7 linked regions of the Callithrix jacchus genome follow. The protein of the gene in region 4 binds, or shares a complex with, the protein of the main gene of each other region. Links are inferred from orthologs where the notes say so. Each region holds a gene or a part of one and is shown on either strand. Other genes may lie near its edges.

The links.
Region 1: NUP205 (region 4) and NUP93 share a complex: the UniProt entries of both Homo sapiens proteins name them as parts of the nuclear pore complex. The link is inferred for Callithrix jacchus from reciprocal best matches to the Homo sapiens genes NUP205 and NUP93.
Region 2: NUP205 (region 4) and CETN3 share a complex: the UniProt entries of both Homo sapiens proteins name them as parts of the nuclear pore complex. The link is inferred for Callithrix jacchus from reciprocal best matches to the Homo sapiens genes NUP205 and CETN3.
Region 3: NUP205 (region 4) and NUP160 share a complex: the UniProt entries of both Homo sapiens proteins name them as parts of the nuclear pore complex. The link is inferred for Callithrix jacchus from reciprocal best matches to the Homo sapiens genes NUP205 and NUP160.
Region 5: NUP205 (region 4) and NUP98 share a complex: the UniProt entries of both Homo sapiens proteins name them as parts of the nuclear pore complex. The link is inferred for Callithrix jacchus from reciprocal best matches to the Homo sapiens genes NUP205 and NUP98.
Region 6: the proteins of NUP205 (region 4) and NUP85 are in contact, whole or in part, in a cryo-EM structure (PDB 7TDZ), measured with the Xenopus laevis proteins. The link is inferred for Callithrix jacchus from reciprocal best matches to the Homo sapiens genes NUP205 and NUP85. Residues at the interface, in XP_041443600.1 of Xenopus laevis: Glu1477, Cys1480, Arg1481, Cys1484, Asp1485, Ser1517, Gly1518, Tyr1519, Leu1520, Lys1521, Val1522, Val1524, Asp1525, Ser1574, Gly1575, Gln1582, Gln1638, Gly1641, Gln1642, Gln1645, Val1648, Leu1690, Asp1691, Ile1692, Gly1693, Leu1694, Asn1695, Asp1696, Gly1697, Ser1698; in XP_041431608.1 of Xenopus laevis: Ala86, Glu87, Glu88, Ala89, Ser90, Gly91, Lys92, Ser93, Arg94, Lys95, Pro156, Pro239, Met240, Gly245, Thr246, Gln247, Thr248, Leu249, Thr250, Glu251, Phe252, Glu253, Leu254, Lys255, Trp256, Gln257, His258, Trp259, Pro315.
Region 7: NUP205 (region 4) and NUP214 share a complex: the UniProt entries of both Homo sapiens proteins name them as parts of the nuclear pore complex. The link is inferred for Callithrix jacchus from reciprocal best matches to the Homo sapiens genes NUP205 and NUP214.

What each region holds. Positions count from the first base shown.
Region 1 is NC_133521.1:14,609,296-14,613,406, reverse strand, and holds the start of NUP93 (nuclear pore complex protein Nup93), read right to left. Parts: upstream 2,801-4,111; 5' UTR 2,718-2,800; intron 1-2,717. UniProt on the Homo sapiens protein: Plays a role in the nuclear pore complex (NPC) assembly and/or maintenance. May anchor nucleoporins, but not NUP153 and TPR, to the NPC. During renal development, regulates podocyte migration and proliferation through SMAD4 signaling.
Region 2 is NC_133503.1:120,374,678-120,378,971, forward strand, and holds the start of CETN3 (centrin-3), read left to right. Parts: upstream 1-1,494; 5' UTR 1,495-1,590; coding exon 1,591-1,607; intron 1,608-3,439; coding exon 3,440-3,575; intron 3,576-4,294. UniProt on the Homo sapiens protein: Plays a fundamental role in microtubule-organizing center structure and function. As a component of the TREX-2 complex, involved in the export of mRNAs to the cytoplasm through the nuclear pores.
Region 3 is NC_133511.1:112,898,790-112,902,289, reverse strand, and holds part of NUP160 (nuclear pore complex protein Nup160), read left to right. Parts: intron 1-2,432; coding exon 2,433-2,643; intron 2,644-2,956; coding exon 2,957-3,179; intron 3,180-3,500. UniProt on the Homo sapiens protein: Functions as a component of the nuclear pore complex (NPC). Involved in poly(A)+ RNA transport.
Region 4 is NC_133512.1:111,667,489-111,670,988, forward strand, and holds part of NUP205 (nuclear pore complex protein Nup205), read right to left. Parts: intron 3,444-3,500; coding exon 3,369-3,443; intron 3,094-3,368; coding exon 2,936-3,093; intron 2,592-2,935; coding exon 2,511-2,591; intron 1,791-2,510; coding exon 1,599-1,790; intron 778-1,598; coding exon 510-777; intron 411-509; coding exon 312-410; intron 1-311. UniProt on the Homo sapiens protein: Plays a role in the nuclear pore complex (NPC) assembly and/or maintenance. May anchor NUP62 and other nucleoporins, but not NUP153 and TPR, to the NPC.
Region 5 is NC_133511.1:69,220,630-69,224,795, reverse strand, and holds the start of NUP98 (nuclear pore complex protein Nup98-Nup96), read left to right. Parts: upstream 1-1,366; 5' UTR 1,367-1,540; intron 1,541-1,875; exon of another isoform or gene 1,876-1,981; intron 1,982-4,166. Other genes in the region: acyltransferase PGAP2, read right to left, coding at 807-1,063. UniProt on the Homo sapiens protein: Plays a role in the nuclear pore complex (NPC) assembly and/or maintenance. NUP98 and NUP96 are involved in the bidirectional transport across the NPC. May anchor NUP153 and TPR to the NPC.
Region 6 is NC_133506.1:131,122,075-131,126,152, forward strand, and holds the start of NUP85 (nuclear pore complex protein Nup85), read left to right. Parts: upstream 1-1,278; 5' UTR 1,279-1,354; coding exon 1,355-1,387; intron 1,388-4,078. UniProt on the Homo sapiens protein: Essential component of the nuclear pore complex (NPC) that seems to be required for NPC assembly and maintenance. As part of the NPC Nup107-160 subcomplex plays a role in RNA export and in tethering NUP96/Nup98 and NUP153 to the nucleus.
Region 7 is NC_133502.1:179,776,350-179,780,566, forward strand, and holds the start of NUP214 (nuclear pore complex protein Nup214), read left to right. Parts: upstream 1-1,417; 5' UTR 1,418-1,536; coding exon 1,537-1,581; intron 1,582-3,110; exon of another isoform or gene 3,111-3,212; intron 3,213-3,700; coding exon 3,701-3,896; intron 3,897-4,217. UniProt on the Homo sapiens protein: Part of the nuclear pore complex. Has a critical role in nucleocytoplasmic transport.

The sequences.
Region 1 (4,111 bases), on a different chromosome or scaffold from region 4:
AGCATTAGGTCTGGCAGATAATAGGTACCAGATACATGCCTGTTGAATTAAAACTGCCTGTTCCCTGAACACACCTTGTAAAAGATCTTCCCTCTAACTCCACATTATTTAAATAAACTTTTTCATGAGGAGTGGGCCCTCTTACCTTCGGATCTTTGCTCTGACCTGTCCCTCTCCTTGGTACATCCATCTTTCCGTCAACTTTATTTTCTACTTCAGTTCATCAGGAAGCAGGTTAAGACCCTCAGGCTCACCACATCTCCAAATGCTCACACCTCAGGGTCTTCGAACCTGCTCTACCCCCTACTTGCAATACTCTCAGATAGTCCCATGACTTGCTTACCCCCTACCTGCAATATTCTCAGATAGTCCCATTATTCAAATATACCTGTCCTCCCTTAGGAAACAGTCCTGACATCACATTTTTTTAATCTGTGCTTTTATTGCTAGTGGTGCCCTCCATATGCACATCAGTTAAATGAAGGCAGGCCTGTCTCATTCACCACTGTATCTCCATGCCCACAACAGTGCCAGTAACATTCATCTAGTTCATATTTTTTTGAGCACCTACTGTGTGCCAGACCTAGGTGCTAGGAATACATGAGGGAACAAAACAGATAAAAATCCCCTCACTCATATTCTACAGGGAGAAGACAACAATATGCAAGAAAAATACGTAAAATGTAAGTGCTAAGAACAACTGAAGAGACGAAGGGAGGCGGGAAGTGAGGAAAGCCTCACTAGGTGACCCCTAGTAAAGACCTGAAGAAGTGAGTGCAAACTACATGGATATTAAATTGCAAGCACAAGGGGAGAGAGCAAATGAGACTGGGAAAGTAACAGTGGGTCAGATTATGTAAAGCCTTATAGCTCACTGTAAGGGGTTTGTCTATCATTAATAAGATGGGGACTCACTGGAGGGATTTTTTCTTTTTTTTTAATAAAGGAATGGTACAGTCTGACAGCCTGTGTTTTAAGAAGATCCCTCTAGCTGGTATGCTGAAAATAGGAGCCAGGACAGAAGCAGGGAGACCAAGTGGCAAACTATTTCAATAATCCAAAAGACAGGTGGTGACTTAGCCCAGGACGGCAAGTATTATTTGCAGTGCGAAAAAGAGAGGGCTGGGTGTAGTGGCCCACACCTGTAATTCCAACACTTTTGTGGGAGGCTGAAATGGGCAGATGACTTGAGGCCAGGAGTTCGAGACCACCCTGGCCAACATGGTGAAACCCCGTCTCTACTAAAAATACAAAAAATTAGGTGGGCATGGTAGCATAGGCCTGTTAATCCCAGGTACTCAGGAGGCTGAGGCAGAATTGCCTGAACCCAGGAGGCGGAGGTTGCAGTGAGCCGAGATAGCGCCATTGCATTCCAGCCTGGGTAACAAGAGCAAAACTCCGTCTCAAAAAAAAAAAAAAAAAAAATTAGCCAGGCAAGGTGGCACACGCCTGTAGTCCAGCTACTCTGGAGGCCGAAACAGAAAAATCGCTTGAGCCTGGGAGGCAGAGGTTACAGTGAGCTGAGACAGCACTACTACATTCCAGCCTGAGTGACAGAGGGAGACTGTCTCAAATAAAAAAAAAAATAAAAAAAAAGAAAAGGAAAAAGAAAGAGAGCAGTCAATGACGTCTCAAAGGTTATTAGCCAGCGTCTTTCCTATTATTGAGATGAAAAAAAAAAAGGCAACAGGATCAGTTTGGGGAGGGTAATAAAGGGGAGCTTGCTAGCCTTCTCTTGACATGTCTGAGTTGCCTATCATCCGATACTAAGTGGGTGGCTGGATAAAGGTCGGGGTGAGGCCTACAATGGAGACATAAATATGGAATCTGTTAGCCTCTGATATGTAGGTATTTAGTGCTATGAACCTGGATGAGATCACCATGAATGAAAATAAAAATATTGCAAACACCAATGCACAAAGGAGGAGAACTGAAAGAAAAAAAGAAGAGAAGCTAGGATGACCAAGGATATCCTCCCACATCTCCCAGAAAGAATACAAAAAGACCCTCGCTTTTGCTCAAAGACAACTCAGTCAAAGCAAAAAATAAATAAATAAAACCTCCTTCCCACACTTAACAGAAGGGCAAACCCAGACCACAGGTTCTGTCAACGGGTCTTTCTCGCTTTCAGCAAAGACTCATGGGCCCGGCCCCATAATTTTTTCAAAAGAAACCCAGTGAACTTGGGCATCGCCTTTGCAGAGAACGGGATGGAGCAGGCACAGAGAAGGGTGGGCCACTCCTGGGTTCCAATCACTAGCATCCTCCTGGATGTACAAAAGACAAGCCAATGGTTGGGAAAAGTTCCACTTGCCCCAAATATCCCTTCCCTCGCAGGGCAACGTCTCCCTAGAGAGTGTGTCCATGACGTGCAGACGAGCAGGCAGGGCGGGCTCGCGGGGCATGAGGTGGATGTGAGAGCAGGGGCGTGGAGCGAGGGCGTCACAGTGGAGAAGGGGGAGTGACAGGCCTAGGTTCTGCATACAGAAAGCGGGCGGATGAAAGGCACCCCCAGGGCAGCAGCCCGACTCTAAGCCTCGGGGGCGGCTAGACAAGGCGTTGTGTCGCCGGCGTTAGGCGTGCCTGGCTGCCCTGAGGAGAACGGGAAGTGTAAGCGGCGGGGCTGCGAGTGTGAGGACGGCGCTCCACCCAGTCACGGGGTCCTGGGTTCAAGGACAAGCCCAGGGTCGGAAGGACGCGACCAGAGACACCCTTACCTTGTACAACAGCTGTCTCCGCCGCTTGGGTGCCGGCTGAAGTACGCGGCCGCCGCTTCTCGCGCCGCTCTCCCCCGCTTCCTGATTGGCCAACGCTGGCCGTTCCCAGAAGCCCCCGCGCGGCGCGCCATCAAACGAACTTTATCGAGACCCGTCGGGGGAGGACAAGAACAGGGGCGGGGAGGAGGCTGGGCCTTGGGCCGAACCGTCACGCCTTGGGCACAGGCAGCCACAGCCTTCACCTTTCTCACTTGATTAGAGTCGGCTCTGTCAGGAGAAAGTGATTCTAGAATTCCTTAAGCTAAAGCAATTTCTTAATCCTTGAGCGCCAAGGGCTGGGCCGTAGTCTACGAGCTGGGAACACAGTGGCGACCACGACAGACAAGATCGCTGCCCTCATGGAGTTCCCAGGCTGGCAGAGGAAACAAAATATAATAAATAAGTAACTGCAGTTTGCAAGAAGAGCTATGAAGAAAAAACAGGGTGATGGGAGAGAGAATGCTTGGATGGTCAAAGGAGACTTTTCTGTGGTGGTGGCGTCTTGAGCTGACTAAAGAAGGATGAGAAAGAATGGAGCTTGCAACGTTCTGGCTTCAAAGAATTCCAAGCAGAGGGAACAAGAGTGAAGTCTCCAGGAGAAGCCAGATTAGTGTTTGGAGACTAGAAAGAAGGGGTGTGTGGCTGGAAGATGGTGAGCGGGGGCAAGTGGGGTCAGACATCCATAGACTGAATGGCTTATACACAACAGAAATTTATTTCTCACCGTTCTAGAAGCTGGGAAGCCTTAGATTAAAGCACCAGCAGATTCAGTGTCTGCTGAGGGCCTGCCTCCTAATTCATAGATAACACTTGATACGGTTTGGCTCTGTGTCCCCATCCAAATCTCACCTCAAATTATAGTCCCAATAATCCCTACATGTCAAGGGTGAGACCAGGTGGAGGTAATTGGATCATGGGGGCAGTCTCCACCATGCTGTTCTCGTGATAGTCTCACAAGATCTGATGGTTTTATAAGCATCTGGCATTTCTCCTGCTTACACTCATTCTCTCTCCTGCCGCCCAGTGAGCAGGTGCCTTCCACCATGATTGTAAGTTTCCTGAAGCCTCCCAGCCATGCAGAACTATGAGTCAATTAAACTTCATTTCTTTATAAATTACTCGGTCTCAGGTATTTCTTCATAGCAGCGTGAGAACACACTAATAAAGTACTCTTCTCTCTGTAACCACACACAGAAGAAGGATGAGGGAGCTCTCCAATATTTCTTGTATAAGTGCCCTAATTGAGGGCTTCACTCTCATGACCCAATCACCTACCAAAGTCCTCACCTCCTAATACCATACCATTGAGGGACAGAGTTTCAACATATAAATTTGAAAGGGAAGGACACAAACAT
Region 2 (4,294 bases), on a different chromosome or scaffold from region 4:
AATTTGAACAATTTCCTTTCAAACATTGTTCTCAAACTTTATCTTTACTAATTTCCTCTTTCTAATTTCAATTATACAATTTTCTTCTTCATTTCTAACATCTTCAGATAAATGCTTGGTTTATTTTTATCCTTTCTTCTTTAAAATAATGTTCTCCTATAGCTTGGTCTGTATCTTAGAATGTTAACATATAGTTTTTTTCAATATCATTAGGTTCTAGTAACTGTAATTTCTCTTTCCTTTTAGAACTCAAAGGCGATTTATAAAAGTACCTTAAAATTTACAGTATGAACAAAATAAAAGTTCCACTTTGATTTTTAGGGGTGCTAAACCTTAACTAATTTTTAGCTTGTTCTATCATACTATCCTTACTTATGCAAATTTAGCTCATCTTTCTAGGTCTAATATTTATGCCACCTCCTTTAAGAAGCCTATCTTGTATTCTCTCTCTTCTCTAAACCATTATATACATCCCTTAAACATGTAATGTTTATACTATCCTCTGCCTTCAACTCCCATCCTCAGGCTATTTTATTCACGTTTATGAGATCTGCTGTTTAGCTAAGTATTTTGCGGGTTTTCAAAAGATTCCACTCAATTTACAGAGCACCTATGCACCATTTTACTAGGTACAAAGAAAAGCCTTAAACAGATAATAATCATGGCCTTCAAGAAATTGAACCTAGTAAGAGAGATGAATAAGAAGACATTCAAGTGAGCTTCAAGAGACTTGGTTTGGTAGTAAAGACAGTCTCATGTGTATAAACAGCTTACAGCACTGTAAAATAAGAGAGAGAAACGAATAAATCCGTTTTAAACAGTTCAAAGGAGGAAACCGAAAGGGAAGGGTGGTTTAGATACTGCCTCACCATAAATAGCCTAATAATCTAACCCTGTGATAATCCAAGTATAGTCACAGTACCTGCCTCAGAATCACCTGGAAGGCTTGTGAGGGGTAAAAACGAAGATTCATACCTACTGAAATTAGAATGGGGAAAGGGGCATTTAAATCTGCATTTTAAACACTTTCCCCAGGTACTGAGGTCATCCAAAGTTTTAGAACAGAGCAGAGCCAAGTTTCGCAGATCTTGTTCCTCAGCTACTCCCTCCTAGCCGGAGGGTGGCCTGCAGCGTGTCCCTTCCCTTCCCTCCGTCGGAGCTGTGTGTCCAGTTTCCGAACGTCGGCCCCACAGACCTCAGGGCTTCAAGCAAGACACGACTAGCACCCACCCACCGCGGGCACATCCAGCAGGGATCAGAGGCCGGACCCGCAAAGGATTCGGGGAAAAAGGCATCGAGCCAATCCGAAGGGCGAGAGCAGCCCGAGAAATGGGTGGGTGAAGGACAGAAACATTTTTCTCTGATTGACGTAAAACGTACCCAATGAAAACAGAGAATTGTGAAGCTTCCGCCCGAATAGGCAGAACCGTGGAGATTTTTCAACCAATCCAGCTCAAAAGTGTCTATGTTGTGGGAGGTCCCTTAGGCCGCTAAGGTCGTTCGTGTCTGTTGAACGGCTGTGAAAGTCTTGCTGTCTTGGGTAGGGGGTTAAAATCGTTCTTGAGAGGAACGTCTCTGTCCGAAGAGATAATGAGTTTAGCTCTGAGGTCGGTAATAAGGAGGCGGCAGTGTTCTCCACACCCCGGAGCGGGACGCAGGGAGGGTGTGGAAGGGAGGCCGTTTGGGGCCGAGGCGAAGTAGGGGATGCAGTTTCGGGACGCGGGAAAGGAGCCTAGGGTAGCTTACCCGGACCAGTCACCCTCTGGGCCCTGGTGCCTTGCAGGGATCGAGTCCAGTGCGTTTCTACTGAGGAAGTTATTTCTGTCAGCGCGTAGGGCTTTGGACTGCCAAAAAGATGGGCTTAGTTGCGAGCGCGGAGGGAATGAAATATCGCGAGGCTTTTACTCGTTTCTGTGAGATACCAGGCCGCGGAACATCCCTTCATTCAATTCGTGTAGCTGGCCAGGGCCCCGCCTCGGCTGCTTCGCTGCTAATGCAAATCACCCACCTATAAATTTTGGCAATAACACAAAACTCCTTCTTCCTCATTTCTCAGGGCGTTGCCTTATGGTGTAGTTGGAGACCCATTTTAGTGAATTTAATTGGCAAACTGTCACTTGGATTTCCTCAGCTTCTTGCATTTCTTTGCCTTTCAGTTCTAACCTCTAACCCTCTGTATGTTGCCCTCTCACCCTTTGTAGAAGTTGTACCGTAAAACTATATACTTAGGACAATAAAAATGTTCCATGTTCTGCTAAGGGATAATCGTACCCTTGAATGGGGTCAGGGGGTGGGTCGGTTCTGGACTTGGCCTCTAGAAGTCTCAGGAAGGAAAAGACTGACCCCAGGAATACCCAAATTTGTGTCAAGTCAGGTTTCATGAAAGGAAGCTTCATCAGCTTTGTCATACTGCACCTACTGGTCACTTCCTGGCCTTTTTTTTTTTTTTTTTCCTAGCTTTCAGAGACCAAAATGACTTTCAAATGCAGCTAGATACGTGTTTTAAATAGAGTCAACTGGTTTTTACATGATAATGTGTTATCGAATTATAGGTTTCAAACTTGTTCTTATACCAGTGTTGCATCCCCCTGTGAAAATTTGGAGCATGTTTAGATGGGCAACTCTTAAAGGAAAATATTTCTGGCTTTAAAAAAATTACTTTTTTTCTTTAAGGCTTTCCAGAGTTTGTTTATGAGAAGTTTAACCTCCAGTTTACATGTTAAGTGAGACAAGACTCTTCACATTTTTATATAGAATGAAGCACAAATATTGTATTTTTTTGGCATCTAATATTTGTCATGTTTAGACTCATTAATATTTTGAATGATTTGTTAATATTGATGGAGGAAATGACAAATTGCCAAACTGTTAGAAAGGTGTAATCTAAAAACATTTTTAACCAACAATGCTAAAATACTAAGTTAATTCGGTTGTATGTTTTTGTAGTACTTTTACGAACTTAATTATAAGAGCTATCAAAAGTAAACCGACATATAGTGACTGTCAACTATGAATTTTGGTTTCGTTTGGAGTTATTTTTCTTTAACAGTCTTAGAATAATGTGAGTATTTTGTTTTTTGGTTAGAGTTGGTTGGAGTTTCAGATATAAAAGCAATGTTACTTATTCACAGTTCTTGTTTTTTCCACAGTAACATTAGTGGGAATAAATAAAAAGCTGGGAAAAGGAAAAGTATGGTCCTCATTTATTTTACTAATCTTTAACAATCTTTAGTTTTGGGAAGTTCAGATTTATAGCAATTTAGATTATGGAGTAAACAGGGCATTGACTCATAAAGGGAAAGTTTCCCTATCTTTCTCCAAAGTACTTTCTTTTTTAAAATTTAGAAAATAATTATTGGCTAATTTCTGTTAGCAAAGAGAATTAAAGTAGACTTTAATTCTCCTTTAATTTAAGGATTTTTTTCTTTCCATTTCATAGAAGCGAGCTTGTAGTAGATAAAACAAAGAGGAAAAAAAGACGAGAATTGTCTGAGGAACAGAAACAAGAAATTAAAGATGCTTTTGAACTATTTGATACAGACAAAGATGAAGCAATAGATTACCATGAATTAAAGGTAATGGTATACTTTAAAATATTTGTTTTTATGTTAAAATGATTTGCATTTTGACAGTTGCTTTACATTGCATTTCTAAATAATTATTTTGACTAAACTGGTTTGGAACTATGAAGGCATTTTAAGCATTCCTAGTTAGTTGCTATAATAAAACTGAACAGAACCCCTAACAGTTTTTAGAAAGTCTTTTTCACATGATAAAATGAATAGTATTTTAAATGTAAAAATATATTCCTAGGGAAGGTGCTTATTTTTCACTGACATAATTAAAGGATTTCAAACTGGAATTTAAACTATTCTTACCATATTCTTTTCACTGTTTTGTTTTTGTTTTTGTTTTGTTTCTTGGTGACTCACTGTATTCAGATTGAGGGAGTGTTGTCTCTTAATCTTAAAAATTGGATTTGTTAGTAACATAGTCTCAATCCACTTTCTCTGGTGCAAATTTAAGTGCTGTTTGATGTTGACACATGCTGATGGGTAAAATGTCAACTTTAATACCTAAAATGTCAAGATGTGGGGAGAGATTTGTAAATTATATTTGTCGAGGTATAGGGAGAGATTTGGGTTTAGGGTAGAATGGGACTTTTAGCACAGTGGGAAAGATAGCATTTTCAGATTTTTAATAGCCTTAATGGATAGGTGAATATAAGTATGTGTTTTAATTTTTCTAATTTTGCAAGGGATTTTTAAGCATAAGAATTCCAAGTAGGGGGTAG
Region 3 (3,500 bases), on a different chromosome or scaffold from region 4:
AATTGAGAAGGTGGAGTATTAGGATAATTGGATATTGTTTGTTCATTTATTTGCTCTTTTTTAAAGTCAAAGTTTCAGTCTGTCACCCAAGCTGGAGTACAGTAGCACAGTCATAGCTTACTGCAACCTTGAACTCCTAGCTCCCATCTCAGCTTCCCAAGTGGCTAGGATTACAGGCGGGCATCACCATGCCTGGCTAATTTTTTTTTTTTTATAGAGATAGGGTCTTTCTATGTCGCCCAGGCTCATCTCGTACTCCTGGGCTGAAGAAATCCTTCTATCTTGGCCTCCCAGGATGCTGGAATTATAGGTATGAGCCGCTGTACCTGGCCCTGATACTGAAATCATTAAGAATTATGGCAAGAGTAGTATGGGAGAGAGTGACAGTGGGCCAGCAGCCAAAATCAACTGCAATGAGCATGGGTAGCAGGTGGTATCTGATTCCATGAGCTTCAGAGCTGAGTGGTTCGGGTAGGAGAGGAGGAACAGTGACCTAGAATGCCAGTGGGGAGCAAGGACATCTGTATTTTTCCCTTGAGGCCCCACTGCAAAGGGCATGGTAGAGAAAACTCTGGGGTCACTGCCCTCACGGGAGATCCAGGATCCAAATTATACCATAAGGCAAGAAAACGAAGGAATTATTCAGAGATGAAATTGAGGATCCAGAAAATTATGCTAATGCCATGAGTTATCAGAAGCAAAGTAGCTCTGGGAAATCATCAGACATGAAAAGGTACTTACATCCTTGGGAGTAGATAAGATGTGCCTTGGAAGAAAGTGTATAGTGAGAGAAGATGATCCAGGATCCAGGTTTGAGGAAATCTAGTCTATATAGGGGTCAGGTCAAGGAGAAGGGGAAGAAATGGACAGGAATGTGGGAGGAAAACTGGGAGAGGGTAGTACCATAGGATTCATGAGAAGAGTTTGTTTTAAAAAGAAAGGCTTCTGTAGTGTGGAGGAAAAAAAAAAAGAATAAAAAATAAAAAGGAAGGCAAGATTAAGTATGTGGAATGGTGCTGAGAGATCAAGTAAGAGGGCCAGGCACTGTGGCTCACGCCTGTAATCCCAGCGCTTTGGGAGGCTTAGGCGGTTGGATCATCTGAGGTCAGGAGTTTGACACCAGCCAGGCCAACATGGTGAAACCCCGTCTCTACTAAAAATACAAAAATTAGCCAAGCATAGTGGCAAGTGCCTGTAGTCCCAGCTACTCAGGAGGCTGAGGCAAGAGAATCGCTTGAACCCTGGAAGCAGAGGTTGCAGTGAGCTGAGATCACTCCATTGCACTCCAGCCTGGGCAACAAGAGCAAAACTCCATCTCAAAAAAAAAAAGATCAAGTAAGAGAAAGACTGAAGAGTCCACTGGAATTGGTATATTGACTTTGACAAGAAGAGGGTGTGGCAGAGGCAAAAGCCAGATTTAGTAGGCTTAAGAGTAGGAGTGATGTGAGGAAATAAGAGAAAGGTTGGCCATGAAGGGGAATGGAGAGGATGGGATAACTGGATTGTGAGTGAGGGGAGGCCAGAAAACAGCTTATTTGAATGGTGATGGAAGGCCCTGGAAGCAGGAGAGGCAGATACAGGAGAAATATGCAGAGAAAGCCAGAAGTTAGCCTTTAGTTGCTGGAAGAAGCCTTCTTTTTTGGAAAGGATGCAGGTGATACGGTAGATATGGCAATGGGAAATTAAGGCACTCCCAGCAATGCTGCGTGCTATGGTTCTAGACCTACACCCGGCAGAGTTGCACCTGAAGAAGGTTACCTGCATCCCAGCACACTTCTGGTTTTGTTTAAGCACAGTATGTATTGTCATTTCTTCTTCAGGCATGTGATATACCATGAGTTATTTTCTGTCACTTTGAAGCTCTTTTTTTAAGGATTGATAGGTTTTTAAAAAAATTTTTTAAATGGCGCAATCTCAGCTCATTGCAACCTCCACCTCCTGGGTTCAGGCAATCCTCCTGCCTCAGCCTCCTGAGTAGCCGGGATTACAGGCACGCGCCACCACGCCCAGCTAATTTTTTGTATTTTTAGTAGAGACGGGGTTTCACCATGTTGACCTGGATGGTCTCGATCTCTTGACCTCGTGATCCACCCGCCGCGGCCTCCCAAAGTGCTGGGATTACGGGCTTGAGCCACCACGCCCGGCCCTGGTTTTTAAAAATTTTTAACAAAATGTTCTTTTTTTCTGGTTCTGCTTTAAACTGTGTTTTCCACTGGGCTGTGTATTCCTTAGCAAGATCTGATAAATATTAAAACTCTTTTAGCTAGGCTGGGTTTGGTGGCTCACGCCTTTAATCCCAGCACTTTGGGAGGCCAGGCAGGCGGATCATGAGATCAGACCTTCGAGACCAGCCTAGTCTGATATATTTCAGTGCAACAGTCAATGAGAAAGAAAAGCATAAAGTTTTCAAACAAATGTCTCTTTTTTAACAGGAAGACCTCTGGAGATACATTGGAGCTGGTGGAGGAGTCACTGGACGTAAATCTGTTGAATAATGCTGTTCGCCTAAAATTCCAAAATTGCAATGTCTTACCTGGAGGGGTTTATGTCTCTGAGACTCAGAATCATGTAATAATCCTGATGTTAACCAATCAAACAGTGCACAGGTTACTTTTACCACACCCTTCCCGGATGTATAGGAGTGTAAGTTGGCTAAGTACAATACCTTTTATTTCCCAAATTACTCTGGGTGTCACAGATCGAGTGCTAGAGCAATATCCTTTGGAACCGAAGGAAATTTGGATTCTTGTTATCCCTCACCAAGCATACTTTGATAGTTATCACTTAAAATCATCAGGGATACATTTTAAGTTGAGAATTAGTTTTCATTAAAAAGAATAGCTTTCTTCTTAAGCTTGACAGTTTTTTACTTTAAAAACTTCTTTAGCAATAGAGAGAAACAGCAAAATTCTGGTTATTTTGATTTAATAGATTTTTCTTTTTAATTACTCAACAGGAGTTGGTAGTTGAAAGTCAGATGCAGTCAATATTCACTGACATTGGAAAAGTTGATTTCACAGATCCTTGCAACTATCAATTAATTCCAGCAGTACCTGGAATATCTCCTAATTCTACCACCTCAACAGCCTGGCTTAGCAGTGATGGGGAGGCCCTGTTTGCTTTACCATGTGCTTCTGGGGGAATCTTTGTTCTTAAGCTACCTCCTTATGACATACCTGGTAAGAATGGGAACTGAGCATGGATTTAACTTTAAACAAGGAATGTTAACATTGAAACAGACCTTAAAAGTTCAACCTCCTCATCCAGTGCAGAGATTGCATCTCTTCTGCCCCAGAACTGGTTTGTTTGCCTGATGAGTCCCTAATGCTTTACTTTTATACAGTGGATAAGGAACTATAAAGCATTTGGAGCACGGAAAAACAAATAGACAAGTATAAGGCAGCCTATTCTAAATCCTGTAGTAAAGATGAGTTGCCTAATTGTCTGTCCTGAGATAAAGGCATTAAACATCATAATTAAATTAATTGAAACAAAGAAGT
Region 4 (3,500 bases):
TTGGACCATTCTTTGCAGAGCATAGTGTTCCGTGGAACTTGAGGCAAGTGAGGGAGTTACAGAAGTATATAAAGCTACACTATTATTTGAGGGTTTCTTAAAAAAAACAGCACTCATGTACTACTACATAATTCTGAAAAACTAAACAGTCTTCCTCAACTTTTGAGTACATGCTTTAAAAATGACACCCACACTCATTTATTACCATTGTGATTAGTCAAAAGATGGAGAAGTGATTAGTCAAAAGATAGAGATTGGGGGAAGTAACCATCTCCCAATCCAGAGAAGATTAGGAACTGTTCTCATTCTACCTGCTTCTAAGGTGTCTGGTTCATCTGGTCTCTGGGCAATCTGTAAGTAATAAAGCAGAGAGCCATACAAGTGAGTCCTCACTCGTTGGAATCCGCCACCTAGGGAGATTAGGAAGATGTCAAATGAAAATCTGTTCTCAATTAAACTTAAAACAAATACAAAAGATGTAATTTATAGAAAATTTAGATGTAAAAAACCTGTCTTCAAAATGAAGTCTAACAGTTTCTTCAATATGATGTGAAGTGAAGAATCTCCAATAGAAGCAAAACCCACTAATGGGTTTTCTGCTGGAACTGGTGACGTGAAAGAACTATCAAGCATAAAAGCGTAATGGGCGTCCCCTTGTCCCGAGACTAATGTCTGCTTCTGTTCGGTGCGGACGGCCTGGCTTAGGTGAGCGGTCAGTGTAAACACTGCTCCGGCGACCACAGGCATTAACTCTTGAGCTGCTTCATCATCTAGTATCTTAAAGGACAAGGGCAAATTAGAGTGAGAATCTTACTTTCAGCTATAATAATTAACAAGTTTCATAGCTATTTTTTTGGGGGGACACAAGGTCTTGCTCTATCACCCACAATCTCAGCTCACTTCAGCCTTGAACTCCTGGGCTCAGGCGGTCTTCACACCTCAGCCTCCTGTAGCTGTGACTACAGGTGCATACCATTATGCTCGATTAATTTTTTACTTTTTGTAGAGATGGAGTCTCACTATGTTGCCTAGGTTGGTCTCAAACTCCTGGGCTCAAGTGATCCTCCCAACTTGGCTTCTCTCGAACTTCTGATTACAGACATGAACCACTGCACACAGCCCATTAACAAGTTTCATATATATTTAGCTTATCAACTACGATAACAATAAATAAGAATGGAATATAGGAATTACTCAAAAAAAAAAAAAAGAAAAGGAATCTAATATATACAAAGAAATTTAAATATGATACTAGGTTATGGGTGTTCTTAACCAGAAGGAATTCCTATCAGAATTTCCTAGGGAGGTTTTCTTTCCAAAATTCACAAAAATGATCTCGCCATTACATTCAGTAGGTCTGGGGTGGATTCTGTCCATGTCAATTTTTACAAAGCTCCCCAGATAATCTGGACACACACTGTGGTAGAGAGTCACTACTGTATAGAATTAATCCCTTTCTCAAGGAAAGTCCTAACATTGGTATTGCACAATTCTCTTACTCCCAATCAAAAATGGAAAACAATTAGGGTAGTAAAATATATTTATTTAAATAATACATATTTATTCAGCAGTATAAAGTAATTTAGGAAGTATGTCACCTTATCATGCACATCTTGTAAAATATCACGAATAATCAGTTGTCGATCCTCTGCCTGAATGAGGTCCTGGGGACAAGCTGTCAGTATAATTTCTACCAGTTGCCGCCACGACTCCAGAGCATGACGTTTTGCATGGAGACACTGCAGCAATTTATTTCTTCCTACCACATATTGAAGTACAGTGCTGATTTCCTAAAGCCACAAGAATTGAATCACAAGGTTAAACAGGCAAATAAGATCAGTTATGTCAGTTACTCAGAAAATATTTATTTGGAAGCCTACTACATGCATGCCAGAAAGCAGATCTTTTCGTATTATTTCCATAGCCAGGGCTATAAAAAGGCTGTATGTGTATGTGTGTGTGTATGTGTATGTGCATGAATGTAGGGGACAGAGGTGGCATAGATAAATGTGTATTTTTTGACACCATCTTCTTTCTCCTTGTACCTATCTACTTGTACTTACTCTACAGCACTAGAATTACCCAAACTGCAAGTTCAGTGGCATGTTCCCTGACATCTCTCTTATTTCTTTGCCTCTTGCTTTGGCCTGGCCAGCTATATGTCTCCATGCATGTGGTTCTTCCCACCTGACCTCTTACCTATAACTTTCCACTTGTGGTGACAAATGACCTTCCTCTCTCACTGATGGACACCAAGTGAGGTCTAATATGAAATATGGTGAGCTTGCAAATCCTTAACTAGCCTAGCAGAAAAGGTGTTATTTATTTCAGCAAACCAGATAGTTCAGCTTATAAAAGTTGTACAATCTAAAGTGAAAGACTCCCTAAATGTTTCATTTTTAGGTAGCTTAATAATTAGCAAACTACAGGTCAATATACTATTTTAGTTTTTTCACCAGCAACATAAGTAGTTAAAGGGTTGAAACGAACACATACTCAATACAACTTACCTCCATCAGTAGAGGTCTCTGTCCTATGGCTGCCATACCCTGAAGGGCATTTACTTCAGCTACGAGAACCCTATGAAGAAGCTGGATAATTAGGAAAAGAAAGAAAAATAAGACATTTCAGACAATGGTAGAACAATAACACCCAGCAATTACCATAAACTACCCTAAAGGGAAAAGTGTCAGCTACCTTTATGTATAATCTAATAATAGCACTGTCCAATTTCCAGACAGTATCCTTTTCAAAAAGTTAGTGTGATATATTAAGTTTTATTTCAGGGATATTTTACAAAAACCACAGTCTTTCCTATAAACTAGTAAACCAACATCTACATCAGAAAGAAAACCTGTATGGTTCTATTTGTTTCTGATGATTTAAGGTCTGAGCCACTTGATACTGCAGACATGTACTTTAAAGCAACCCTCACCTTGACATTGCAGACTGTCTGTCCCCGTAAATTCTTGTGTTCACAGTTAGCAATAACTTGTTCAATCTGGGCCCGATCAAAAAAATCCAACTGCAAAGGCTCAGGGATCTCCTGACTGAAGTCAATTGAGTCCAGAATACTTAGAATTTTTCGACGTACTAGAAATAATAAAAAGTAATTTGTTTTTACCTGGGATATTGAAGAGAAGAGCAAACCATCATATTCAGTTGATTTTCAAAGAGAGTGCTATTTTCAGAAAGAACATTAGTCAAGAAACTGAAAACTGTATTAGAATCTAAATTTGATTTTATTTGATACATCCACTTACAAAAATACCTTCCTTTGCAGGCACAGGCATAAAAATCCCTTAAAGTTTTAAGCAATTTAATATATGTCTATAAAATACATTTATTACAAATTCAAAGGGCATTACCTTTTGTAGCAGTGTCAAAGTGAAGGAACCCAGAAACAGACCTGTTTTCATCTTCTGTTCCTCCTTCACCATCTGCTGGAACATCAATAATATTGAATCAGAAAAAGAACATATTCTTAAAATTACATTTAT
Region 5 (4,166 bases), on a different chromosome or scaffold from region 4:
AGATGTACCGAGCAGACCCATTCTTTAGGAACACTCGCTGGGAAAGCTCGGCAGATGTACCGAGAAGACTCATTCTTTAGGAATACCTAAGAGTTCGGCTGGGTTCGGTAGCTCATGCCTGAAATCCCAGCACTGTGGGAGGCCGAGAGGTGGGGGGAGTGGGAAGAGGATCACCCGAAATCAGGAGTTTGAGACCAGCCTGACCAATATGGTGAAACCCCCTATCTACCAAAAATACAAAAATTAGCTGGGTCCCATTTCAAAAAAAGAATAGTTCACCGGACAACGTGGCTCATGCCTATAATCCCAGCACATTGGGAGACCGAGGCAGGTGGATCACTTGAGGTCAGGACTTCGAGACCAGCCTGACCAACATGGTGAAATCCAGTCTCTACTAAAAATACAAAAATTAACTGGGCCTGGCGGGTGCCTGTAATCCCAACTATTCGTGAGGCTGAGGCTGGAGAATTGCTGGAACCTGGGAGACACAGGTTGCAGTGAGCCGAGATGGCACCACTGCACTCCAGCCTGGGAGACAAAGCGAGACTTCATCGCGAAAGGAAAAAAAAAAAAAAAAAAGAAGTAGGAGGTTCTCCCGTGCAGCTGGGAAAGACGTTCCAACAATCCTCATTTGTACTAGGCCCTTTGGTGGGCCATTCCCTTAGGGCATCTCTACTGCTCCTAATGTCTGTCCTAGAAATTCGGAGAGGGAAAGAATGTGCTGGGGCAAGCATAGGTCAGAAAAGAATAGGGTAAGGATCTAGGCCCCTGAAGCAGCCTCAGGCAAACTCCTTGGACAGACAGACCTCCCGGAAGGGTCCTCAAACTCCGCACGTGGTCTGTCCAGGAAGTGCGGGCAGAGAGACGAGAAAGCCTTCCCAGCAGCGCCCGCGGACCGGGGCAAGTAAAGGGTCGAATAGTTACCATGCCATTCTGGGGCCGTCCCTCTCATTGGCCCGAGCTCCCGCAGCCTGAGTCTCAGCGCTCCAAGGCAGGGGGCGGAGTCTCTATTTTGCGTCACCACTCTTCCCCACATCCCGCCGGTGCTTCCCAATCTAGCCATTCACAAGCCCACTTAGAGAGGCCCTGTGTGACGTCACAACTCACTCCCATCAACCGCAGCGGCGAGGGGGCGGGACCCCACGGCCCTCTTACCGCTCCTCCCCTGTACCGCCCCTAACTCCTTGTGTCCCTCCCCTTCCCTCTCGCCCCTTCCACCCCGAAGACCGCCCTCATGTTCGGTTTCAAAAGACGCGTTGCCCAATGAATAACAGGGCCGACCCAGAGTGGCGGCCACGTTCACCAATTCGTGGACGGCGAGGGCGGAGCGCCTGCAGCGAGCCCCTGACGCCGGGCGGCGTGTGACGCACTCGGGCCCTCTGCGCGCTGCGCCCGAAGCGGTGGTCGGTAGCTGTGGTGGTAGCGGCGGTGACGGTGACGGTGACGGTTTCGTGGGGGCCGCGCGCTGCTCCGTTAGCGGCGGGTGGCGGACGGGACCGGGCCCGGATTCCTGACATTTCCCCTCTCCTAAAGAACCGCGGTAAGTCGGGAGCCGGAGATGCCGCGGCCGAGAGCGGCAGGCTCCTCCTCCCTGGAGGACGGACGCGCGGGGCGTCCCAGGGCCTCTCAGCGCCGAAGTCTCTCGCCGCGGCGCACACCTTCAGGCCTGAGAGAGGGGCGGGGCCCAGGACCCTGAGTCTCGGTGGTCCGGTTCTGGAGGCCCTGGGAGGGAATGGACATCGGTGGGATCTAGGCCTGGGGGTCTCCACTTGAGCCCACGCGAGTGGGCGTCTGTCTGGTTGTAGTCATTCATTCGTTCGGCGGTGTTAGGACCCCACGGTGGGCTGGACTTTACGGAATCGTCCTTTACGCCTTGAGACTCCGAATATGGGCTGCCCCGCACTTCCTTGACCGTCATGTGGGGATGGGCTTTATTTGCTTTGGCTTCTCCTTAAGGGAAATGGGCACCTCGAGGATTAGGGTGAGTCTGAAGTTTGTTAGATTTTTAAACTAATATCTGAGAATGGAAGTCGGTTCGGTGGAGCAAAAGGTTTTCTGTTTTTCCACGTGTTCCGTGTAAAGCCAGATGAGGAGAAAAATGGAGTTTCTGGATTACTGCAGCCATAAAGAACTTAGAAATTGTTTAAGTCAATCTTCCTACCTTACATCGCATTTCTGTCGATGGGGAAACTGAGGTCCGTAGTAACAGGCAGGATTAGCCAATGCCAGATCTCTGACAGTCTAAAAATTTTTTTACTTAGATGTTTCAGCCTCCCATTATTAAGAATTACCTTTAGGAAGTCGGTGCGGATGCATATTAGGTAGCTGGACGTAGATGGAATCTTCATAGCGTTTTCCATTTAGTTGCTACCAGCTCTGTTTACGGAAGGTGGAAGCTTCGTTAACCTAGACCTCAACAACTAAACTTAGAAGATGGTTAAAGAATGTCAGTGATGTTATTTATTGGAAACAAATCGATAAAACTACAAGCCATTGTTGGCCTTTCTAAATGTGAATTTTTTGATTTGTGCCAGCTGCTGAGGACTCGCAGTCAGTGATTTTTAACAGTACTGGAATAGAAAGCAGAAAATACTGACAGGACTTAGAAAGCTAAGCAGGAGTCCGTTTATAGTACCTCATGGCTCCATTCAGGTACAGAATTCATAGTGGAGTATTATAGTAGAATGAGGTGAGAAAACAAAACTCCATTTTGGAGGAAGAAGCTATCAGAAAGAGAGAGGAAGGGAGGGAGGGAGGGAGGGAGGAAGGGAGAAAGGGAAAGAGCAGTGATTATTCCCTGTGACAGTCTTATAAATTCAGGAAGAAGCTCTAGTTAGTTAACTGGGTTACAGAATGTTTACCTGGTGGAGGAAGTTAGAGTATTTAAAAACCAAAACTAGAGATTGAACAGGATAAAGGTACTGGGAAGGCTGGGTGCAGTGGCTCATGCCTGTAAACCCAGCACGTTGGGTGGCTGAGGTGGTCTGATCACGAGGCCAGGAGTTCCAGACCTGCCTGACTAACATGGTGAAACCCCATCTCTACTAAAAATACAAAAATTAGCCCAGTGTGGTGGCGCATGCCTGTAATCCTAGCTACTCGGGAGGCTGAGGCAGGAGAATCACTTGAACCTAGGAGGTGGAGGTTGCAGGGACCCAAGATCATGCCACTGCACTCCAGCCCGGGCGACAGACCAGACTCCGTCTCAAAAAAGAAAACAAAAAAGGTACTGGGAAATACTTGGGTAAAATTACTGGTTTTGACTTCTCAGATTTGATGAAATTGAATTAGTTGACACTTTGGTCTGTTCACATCAGTAAGGTTGTCACTTTGCTCTTATTTAGATGACAAAGCATAAACTCAAAACCAGTAGTGCAGGGAGAACAGTAAAGCATGAACAGGGTATGTTTTCTGTGACATTTTCTCAGTTCAAGCGTCTTCTGGGAAGCTTTTCTTGGCATTCTCTCCTCTGCAAGCTTCCATAACACCTATTTGATACTTCTATTTATAGCACCTATCATTTCTATTTTAGCTGTGTTTTTATTAGTCTGGTAAAATATTTTTGTCTTTGTAGTCCAATTGCCTGCCACATAGTAGGCCCTCAATAAGTGTGTTTAGACTTATTGAATGAATAGACAAATATGGAGGAGTTATACCTAACAGTAGTCAATAAAGAAATCTGTTTATATGTTATGTGTTAGTCTGCTGTTTCTAGGTTATGTGATACTTTGGTACCTGACTTTATTTAATGAGATAGGGTCTCACTCTGTCACCCAGGCTGGAGTGCAGTGGTACAGTCTTTCGGTTCACAGCAGCCTTGACCTCCTGGGCTCAAGCAGTCCTCCCACCTCAGCCTCCAAAGTAGCTGGGACCACAGGTGTGCACTGCCATACACAGCTAATTTTTTTATTTTTTATTTTTTATTTTTTGGGGGGTAGAGACGGGGTTTTGCTATGTTGCCCAGGCTAGTCTTGAACTCCTGGGCTCAAGCCATCCACCCACCTCAGCCTCCCAAAGTGTTGGGATTACAGGCAGGAGCCACTGTGATCAGCCAGTACCTGACTTTATGTCTGCTACATCTTAGATAAATAAGAGCAAGTAGAATTTTTAGGGAACCAAATTTACAGCTTTGAAAAAATTAGCCAGTTTTTTTGTAATATGATTTA
Region 6 (4,078 bases), on a different chromosome or scaffold from region 4:
AAGAAAAATAATAAAGGAAGTATAGCACTAAGATTTGTTTTTTTTTTTTTTGAGACGGAGTTTTGCTCTTGTTACCCAGGCTGGAGTGCAGTGGCGGATCTCGGCTCATCGCAACCTCCGCCTCCTGGGTTCAGGCAATTCTCCTGCCTCAGCCTCCCGAGTAGCTGGGACTACAGGCGTGCACCACCATGCCCAGCTAATTTTTGTGTTTTTAGTAGAGACGGGGTTTCACCATGTTGACCAGGATGGTCTCGATCTCTTGACCTTGTGATCCACTCGTCTCGGCCTCACAAAGTGCTGGGATTATAGGCGTGAGCCACCGCGCCCAGCCAAGATTTGTTTTTTTTGAGATGGAGTCTCACTGTGTTGCCCAGGCTGGAGTGCAGTGTCGAGATCTTGGCTCACTGCAACCTCCACCTCCCGGGTTCAAGCGATTCTCCTGTTTCAGCCTCCCGAGGAGCTGGGATTACAGGCATGCGCCACCATGCCCGGCTAATTTGTATTTTTAGTAGAGACAGGGTTTCTTCATGTTGGTCAGGCTGGTCTCGAAGTCCCGGACCTCACGTAATCCGCCCGCCTAGCCCTCCCAAAGTGCTAGGAGTACAGGCGTGAGCCACTGCGCCCGGCCTGTATTCTAAGTAGAGACGAGGTTTCCTCATGTTGGCCAGGCTGGTCTCGAACCCCTGACCTCCAGTGATCCGCCCACCTAGGCCTGCCAAAGTGCGGAGATTAGAGGAGTGAGCCACCGCGCCCAGCCTTCAGTGGTGTCGATTTTGTCCGGGTGCTTCTTGTATGTGTTCTAGTGTGGGAGTGGCGGCGATTGCTTTCCAGCACAAATCCGTTTGACTGTCGGGGTTTGGACAAGCAGCTGCGACGACACTAAAGTGGAGACCAGGATGGGGCGAGGACTCCCAGCGTTGGTAGAGGTTGTACGCTCACTGGGGCCCTAGCGCTGCCCGAGTTCGCACCAGCGCCGCAAAGCTCACGCACGCGCAGTCGCACCGTCTCTGGCCCCAGGGTCCTCCCGCCCCTCCCGCCGTCTCCGGGGGCCTTTTCTCCGCCCGGCGCGGGGATGTCCGCGGTGCCGCCTGATCCTGTGAGCGCGGTACCGTGAATGCAGTCTGCCCTCGGCGCTCTTCTCCCTGACGTGCTGTCGAGGCCAGAAAGGAAGGACCCGCTCAGAGGACCGCAGACGGGTGGCTGAGAGGAGAGGCCCCCGCAGCATTGAGGGTTTGGGCTTGCAGGCGCTGCAGGAGGCGCCCAGCGGGGTCCTCTCTTAGCCAGCTCTGAGCTGGAGGCCTGAGCGGGAAGCATTGGCGGTGGGGCGACTTCCAGGAGGCTGGAGTGTAGCGCTATGGAGGAGCTTGATGGCGAGCCAACAGTCACTGTAAGGGCGCCCCGAAAAGGCTTGTTCGTCCTTGCGGCTCCAGAACTGCGTCTGCTTCGTTAGTTCAGGCTTGTCTGCTTCCCTCCTGGCCGCTAGGCGCTCGTCCCCTACCCTTGACTCAGTTGCCACTGTCCGAAGGTCGCAGTGTTAACGAAGTGCCCGCCCTCGAGTTGCAGTGGTTGCAGGGTTTCTGCCACCAGTCACAAGTCCTGGCCCCGAAGGTCCCACTCCATCCCTTTCCCTCCTTTGTCTTCCTGGCCTTTCTATTTCCCTCGCTTTTCCTCTTGGGCAGTAGAGTGGGTTCAGCCCGAGCAGAAGTATTGATGTTTTTCTTCTAGCTATGTTAAGCTTTGCAAGCGGTACATTGAGCTTCTGCCTGTGTGGTCTAAGGTTTATTGAACGTATTTATTCTCTGGGGAGACTGTTAAAACGTGCGCTTTGAATGAAGATACACCCAGACTTTGTGTGAGCAACATGGCTGTTTATTCACCTGGGTGTGGGCGGGCTGAATCCGAAAAGAGTCAGCGAAGGGCGGTGAGATAGGAGTTGGTTTTATAGGTTTGGGGTGGGCAGTGGAAAGTTAGAGTGACTTGTAGCCACGGATGGGGAGGCGGTGTCCCTCACCCTAGGGTTAAGGTAGGGGGACATAAGAGGAGCTATTCAGGAGGTATGGGTTCGGGGAGGAGGGCGCCAGTGAGGTGTGGCTATAGCCCAGGAATAGTTAAGGAGGCAGACAATTTTGCTAGGATATCTTGGCCTAACAGAGGAATTGGACAAGTGGGACTGATTAGGAAAGAATATGGAAAGTGGTGCTGGCCTAATTGACACCAGACTTGGGGAGTTTTGAGAGGCCTGGAGACCTTGCCGTCAATTCCCACAACAGTTATGGAGGCCAAGGAGACAGGTCCTTGAAAAGAAGGCAGTGTGGAGTGTGTGGCTCCGGGTTGATTAAGAAGGGGATGGACTTGACCTCCACCAGTTACTCGAAGCGCAGTGTTTGTGATGTTCCAGGGAGCCTCTGAGATGTTCAGGCAGCATCAGTCTTCAGCCACCAAGCCAAGGAGATCAGGGAAAGAGTCAGCCTGAGGGCTCCCGGGTTGGGCTCCTGGAGACTTAAAGACAGCAGTTTGAGTCTGGCAGTCCTACCTCCATTGGGGTCCCACACAGACAGGACATGGCTTAGGAAGAATCCCGGTTGGGAGGCTGAGGCGGGCGGATCACGAGGTCAAGAGATCCAGACCAGCCTAGCCAACATGTTGAAACTCCGTCTCTACTTAAATACAAAAATTAGCTGGGCATGGTGGCGCGCGCCTGTAGTCCCAGCTGCTTGGGTGGCTGAGGCAAGAGAATTGCTTGAACCCAGGAGGCGGAGGCTGCAGTGAGTCGAGATCCCGCCACTGCACTCCAGACTGGCGACAGAGTAAGACTCTGTCTCAAAAAAAAAAAAAAAAAAATCCGGGCTGCAGGCATTCCTTGGCTCAGTGGCCAGGTTCTCGGCATTTGAAGCAAGGCTTTGGGGAAGGAGGTCCTGAAGAGAAGTCTGGACGCTGTGGGTTTGGTGGTCTGAAACTTCTGTGAGCCGAAGAAGAAGTAGCTGTGGTCTATCTTACAGAGGAGGCAAGCATTTGTAATTCCGAAATACGCTGCCCCTGGGTAGCTTTTTCCCTATTATTTAACACCTTAAAGGTGAGGTCAATTAATTCCTGTTGTGGGGTTTGAGGGCCAGATTCTAATTTCTGTGGCTTTTTGTAATGTTAGGGACTCAATGGGTGATAAAATGCATATCAAGCATTCTTCAGGGGTGAGAGTAGAAGTAAGGATGACATTTAAGTCACTCCAGGCGAGATTACAGGCCTGGGTTAAGTATTGGAGGATCTGATGTAAAAGAGCCTAACCATTGGCTGATTTGGGAAAGGTCGGATAAAGAGAAAGGAACCTGCACCCTAACTATGCCTTTGGCTCCAGCCACCTCTCGAAGAGGGAATTGTCAGACAGGGGTGGAGGAGGTAGCCACAGGACTAAACTGCAAGCTGGGGCACTTATGAGGTGGCGAGGTGACAGGAGGGGCATAAGGAAATGGGTTGTGGGCAGAGGAAGAGGAGGAAAGCTCTAGGGGTTGGGCTTAGGTCCTGGATTAGGGCCTGGTTCCGACAGGCAGGGAGGAGAAAGGTCGGAAGGGTCGATGGACAAGGAGAATTCTAGGTTGCTGGCAGAGGCAGGAGGGGCAGATGGAAGGGAGAGAAGGAAAATTTGGGATGGGTTGCATTGAGAACAGAGATTAGGGAGAGATTGGTGTGTAAAAAAAAATGCCTGGACGTAGAGAATTTGCCCATTTTACTACGAAAGTTATCTAGATCCTGTAGGATAGAGAAATTGAAGGTACCATTTTCTAAATGGACAATGGACATTTAGAGCCATTGTCCAATTTATATCATGGTCAAGCAGTATTGCAGAAGAAAATAAGATGCTTAGGTTTTAGGTCAGGTGATAGCCGGAGAAGTTTGAGGTTTTTTAGAACGTAGGCTAAGGGAGAGGAGGGAGGAATGGAGGGTAGGAGTTTGCCCATAGTTTAAGAAGAGCGGGGCTCGGCGCGGTGGCTCATGCCTGTAATCCCAGCGCTTTGGGAGGCCGAGGCAGGTGGATCACGAGGTCAAGAGATTGAGACCATCCTGGTCAACATGCTGAAACCCC
Region 7 (4,217 bases), on a different chromosome or scaffold from region 4:
TATACTTTTTTCTGAGACAGAGTCTCACTGTCGCCCGGGCTGGAGTGCAGTGGCGCAATCTCGGCTCACTACAAGCTCCACCTCTCGAGTTCAAGCGATTCTCCTTCCTCAGCCTCCTGTGTGGTCCACAGGCGTCCGCCACCACACCCAGCTAGTTTTTGTATTTTTAGCAGAGACAGGGTTTCACCATGTTAGCCAGGTTGGTCTCAAGCTCCTGACCTCAGGTGATACACCTGCCTTGGCCTCCTAAAGTGCTGCGATCACAGGGGTGAGCCACCGCGCCCAGCCTATTTTATTTTTTGAGACAGAGTCTGGCTCTGTCACCCAGGCTGGAGTGCAGTGGCGCAATCACAGCTCACTGCAGCCTCGACCTCCTGGGCTCAAGCATCCTCCCACTTCAGCTTCCTGAGTAGCTAAGACTATATGTCCATGCCATTCCTCTGGCTAATTTTTTTTTTTTTTTTTTTTTTGAGACGGAGTTTCGCTCTTGTTACCCAGGCTGGAGTGCAATGGCGCGATCCCATGCCCAGCTAATTTTTTTTTGTATTTTTAGTAGAGACGGGGTTTCACCATGTTGACCAGGATGGTCTCGATCTCTTGACCTCATGATCCACCCGCCTCGGCCTCCCAAAGTGCTGGGATTACAGGCTTGAGCCACCGTGCCTGGCCTAATTTTTTTTTTTTTGAGAGATGGGGTCTTGCCATGTTGCCCGGCTGGTCTCAAACTCCTAGGCTCAAGCAATCCTGTCTGCCAAGTGCTGGGATTATGGGCATGAGCCGGCGGTGCCTGGCCTACCTCATCAATTAAATAAATAACAACCCCTAGGACGTCTCTAAGATTACGTGAGATCCCAGATCTGAAGGTTTTTGCAAAGGACTTGGCACAAACTCGTGCGTCTGGGAGTGGGTATGGCTCTTGCTCTGGAGATGACTACCTTGATAGGAGCAGACAAAGTTGCTCTTTGGTGCCCGTTAACCTCCCCTCCCAGCCTTCACCTTCCACATTTTAAAAGTCGCCTCTGGCGACCCCTCGACCCAGTTTTTCTTAATCTCCCTCCCTCCCCTTGCATAGCCCAAAGCCTCCCTCAAAAGCAGCCCCTGAAAACATCTGTCAAGTTCCTAACTTCTCTGAATCGGAAGCTACTAATAGCCAACCTACATCTAAGGGGAACTGTAAGGTTTCAGAGGAACAAGGGGCATATGTCTCTTAGGCGTGGGCCGCTCAAGAGGCAACACTGACACTACACGGACCCGCGCTGGCCGCGAGGGCGGGAGCACCAGGACGATCCAGGGCGCAGGCGCGACGGCCCTACGACCTCCCCCAATGAGGACCGGCTGCCGTGACAGCGCGCGTCTTCTACCGATTCCGCGACCTCCGCTGACCAAGCTTAACGTCACCAAAGCGCGCCGGAAATGTAGGGTCTGCTGCGCGCCACTGGCGCTGAGGGAAGTAAGTTTGCTGTGGAGCGAACTGGGTTCTGCGGACTAGGCCGTGGGAGGCAGCGTCGGCTGCTTCGACACACCGAGGGCGACACGATGGGAGACGAGATGGATGCCATGATTCCCGAGCGGGAGATGAAGGTCAGAGACTAGCCAGGGCCTTGGAGCCCCTCTGAAAGGCGAAGCGCGATTGCCCGCTGTCCCGCCTTCTCCTTGAACAATTTACCGCGTTCACAGCTCTTGGCAGCGCGTTTGCCGCGATAGCGCCACCCGATGCAGTTTCCCAGTCCCTTCCTGGTCTCGTACACGCCTCTTGAGTTACTCTAGCTACTTCATGTGGCGGTCACCATAGTGGCAATAACTACTGTTTATTGAGCGTTTGCTGTGTGCCAGGCACGGTGGTAGTCATCCCAGCAGCCCTACGAAGTAGTCGTTAACGTAGAGTCGAGGCTCGGAAAGTGATTGACCTAAAGTCACATTTGACAGGGGGCTGAAAGCCAGCATCATTTAAGACTTTTGCTCTCCCATTACTTCTGTAAGGTGGTACGGGCTTGCCTAACGTAGAGCCACGGAAGGTCATCCGTCCTGCAGAACCTTTAGTTGATTGGACGAGGAAGACTATTTTTGACATAGGGTATCAGCCCAAAGTCAGGAACCTAAATCGAGGGCCAAGTGGTCCCAATAATGGCGACGTGGGAGTCCCCAGGGATAACTCCAGGATGGTGTGGTTAAGAGTTCTCATATACTTTCTGACAGAGTGAGGGGACAGCAAATGAGCTACATCTGTTTTAAGCAGTGAAAGGAAGTAAGTTGCAGGAATATATATATATATATATATATATTTTTTTTTTTTTTTTTGAGACGGATTTTCGCTGTTGTTACCCAGACTGGAGTGCAATGGCACGATCTCGGCTCACCGCAACCTCCGCCTTTTGGGTTCAAGCAATTCTCCTGCCTCAGCCTCCCGAGTAGCTGGGACTACAGGCTCACACCACCATGCTCAGCTAATTTTTGTGTTTTTAGTAGAGACGGAGTTTCACCTTGTTGACCAGGATGGTCTCGATTTCTTGACCTCGTGATCCACCCGCCTCGGCCTCCCAAAGTGCTGGGATTATAGGCGTGAGCCACCGCGCCCGGCCAAGTTGCAGGAATATTTTAGTTGCCTGTGTCAACAGTAAATCACTAAAATGCATTTAGGAGATAGTAACCCATACCATGTTTAGAAAAGTGATTTTTTTTTTTTTTTTGACAGAGTCTCCCTCTGTCGCCCAGGCTGGAGTGCAGTGGCATGGATCTCAGCTCACTGCAACCTCCACCTCCCAAGCTCAAGCGATTCCCCTGCCTCAGCCTCCCGAGTAGCTGGGATTACAGGTACCTGCCACCATGCCCAGCTAATTTTTTATATTTTTGGTAGAGACTGGGTTTCACCATGTTGGCCAGGCTGGTCTCGAACTGCTGACCTCAAATGATTCGCCTGCCTCAGCCTCCCAAAGTGCTGGCATTAGAGGAGTTAGCCACCATGCCCTGCCTAGAATAGTAATTCTTTTTTGAGAATCACCACCTGTGGTGAGCTACCTAATGGGATTGTGTCATATTTCTCAGATATGCTGGGGTAGAATTAAAAAAGGGTTTATTAATAGAACCACAGACCTAGAAGATGGTAATCTCATACTCCCTTTGGCAGTACATATAAAATTGGGATAATGCAGAGAAGACAAGCACGGCTCCTGTATGAGGATGACACACAAATTCGTGAAGTGTTCCATATCAGAAAAAAATCAGGGCCAGGCGTGAGTGCCCACTATACTCCAGCCCGGGCAGCAGGACAAGACCCCATCTCAAAAAAGAAAAAAAAAAGGCGACCACAGGCGGTGGCTCACGCCACTTTGGAAGGCCGAGGGGGGCAGATCAGGAGGTCAGGAGATCAAGACCATCCTGGCTAATACAGTGAAACCCTGTCTCTACTAAAAATACAAAAGATAGCCAGGCGTGGTGGCTCATGCCTGTAGTCCCAGGTACTTGTAAGGCTGAGGCGGGAGAATTGCTTCAACCTGGAAGGCGGAGGTTTCAGTGAGCCGAGATTGCCACTGTCCTGCAGCCTGGGCAACAGAGTGAGACTCTGTTTCAAAAAAAGAAAGACAATTGAGGCAGTCCTTGGTCTTAGTAACACACACTTTTGTTGTTCTGAAATTGAGTCTGCTGAATATAATATGTTTTAATTTATTCATTGAATTGATTTTGTTTTGATTCTTTACAATAGGATTTTCAGTTTAGAGCGCTCAAGAAGGTGAGAATCTTTGACTCCCCTGAGGAATTGCCTAAGGAACGCTCGAGTTTGCTTGCTGTGTCTAACAAATATGGTCTGGTCTTTGCTGGTGGAGCCAGTGGCTTGCAGATTTTTCCTACTAAAAATCTTCTTATTCAAAATAAACCGGGAGATGATCCCAATAAAATAGGTAAGTTCCCTGGTTTATGTTGCAAAGTAGAGAGAGGAGTATGGTGTCATGATAATGGGTTTCCTTCCCAAGAAGTCACTCTAATGTTAAAATGAATACTGTCAGTTTTCAAGTTGACGCCCAAGAAGATTAACGGAAACCTTTCTCAGTTTTCCCTTTGGTCCTTTGTATTTCTCTTTCCATGAGTTGTTCCTCTCAGCTCAAGGGGGAAGAATTTACCATTATGCCATGCTTTTATTTTTACCCAGTTGAACTTGGGCTCTGGCTCTCTGGGTGAAGGGTTTTGTTGGAATGGGTTTTCAGTTGGCACAACAGGACGAT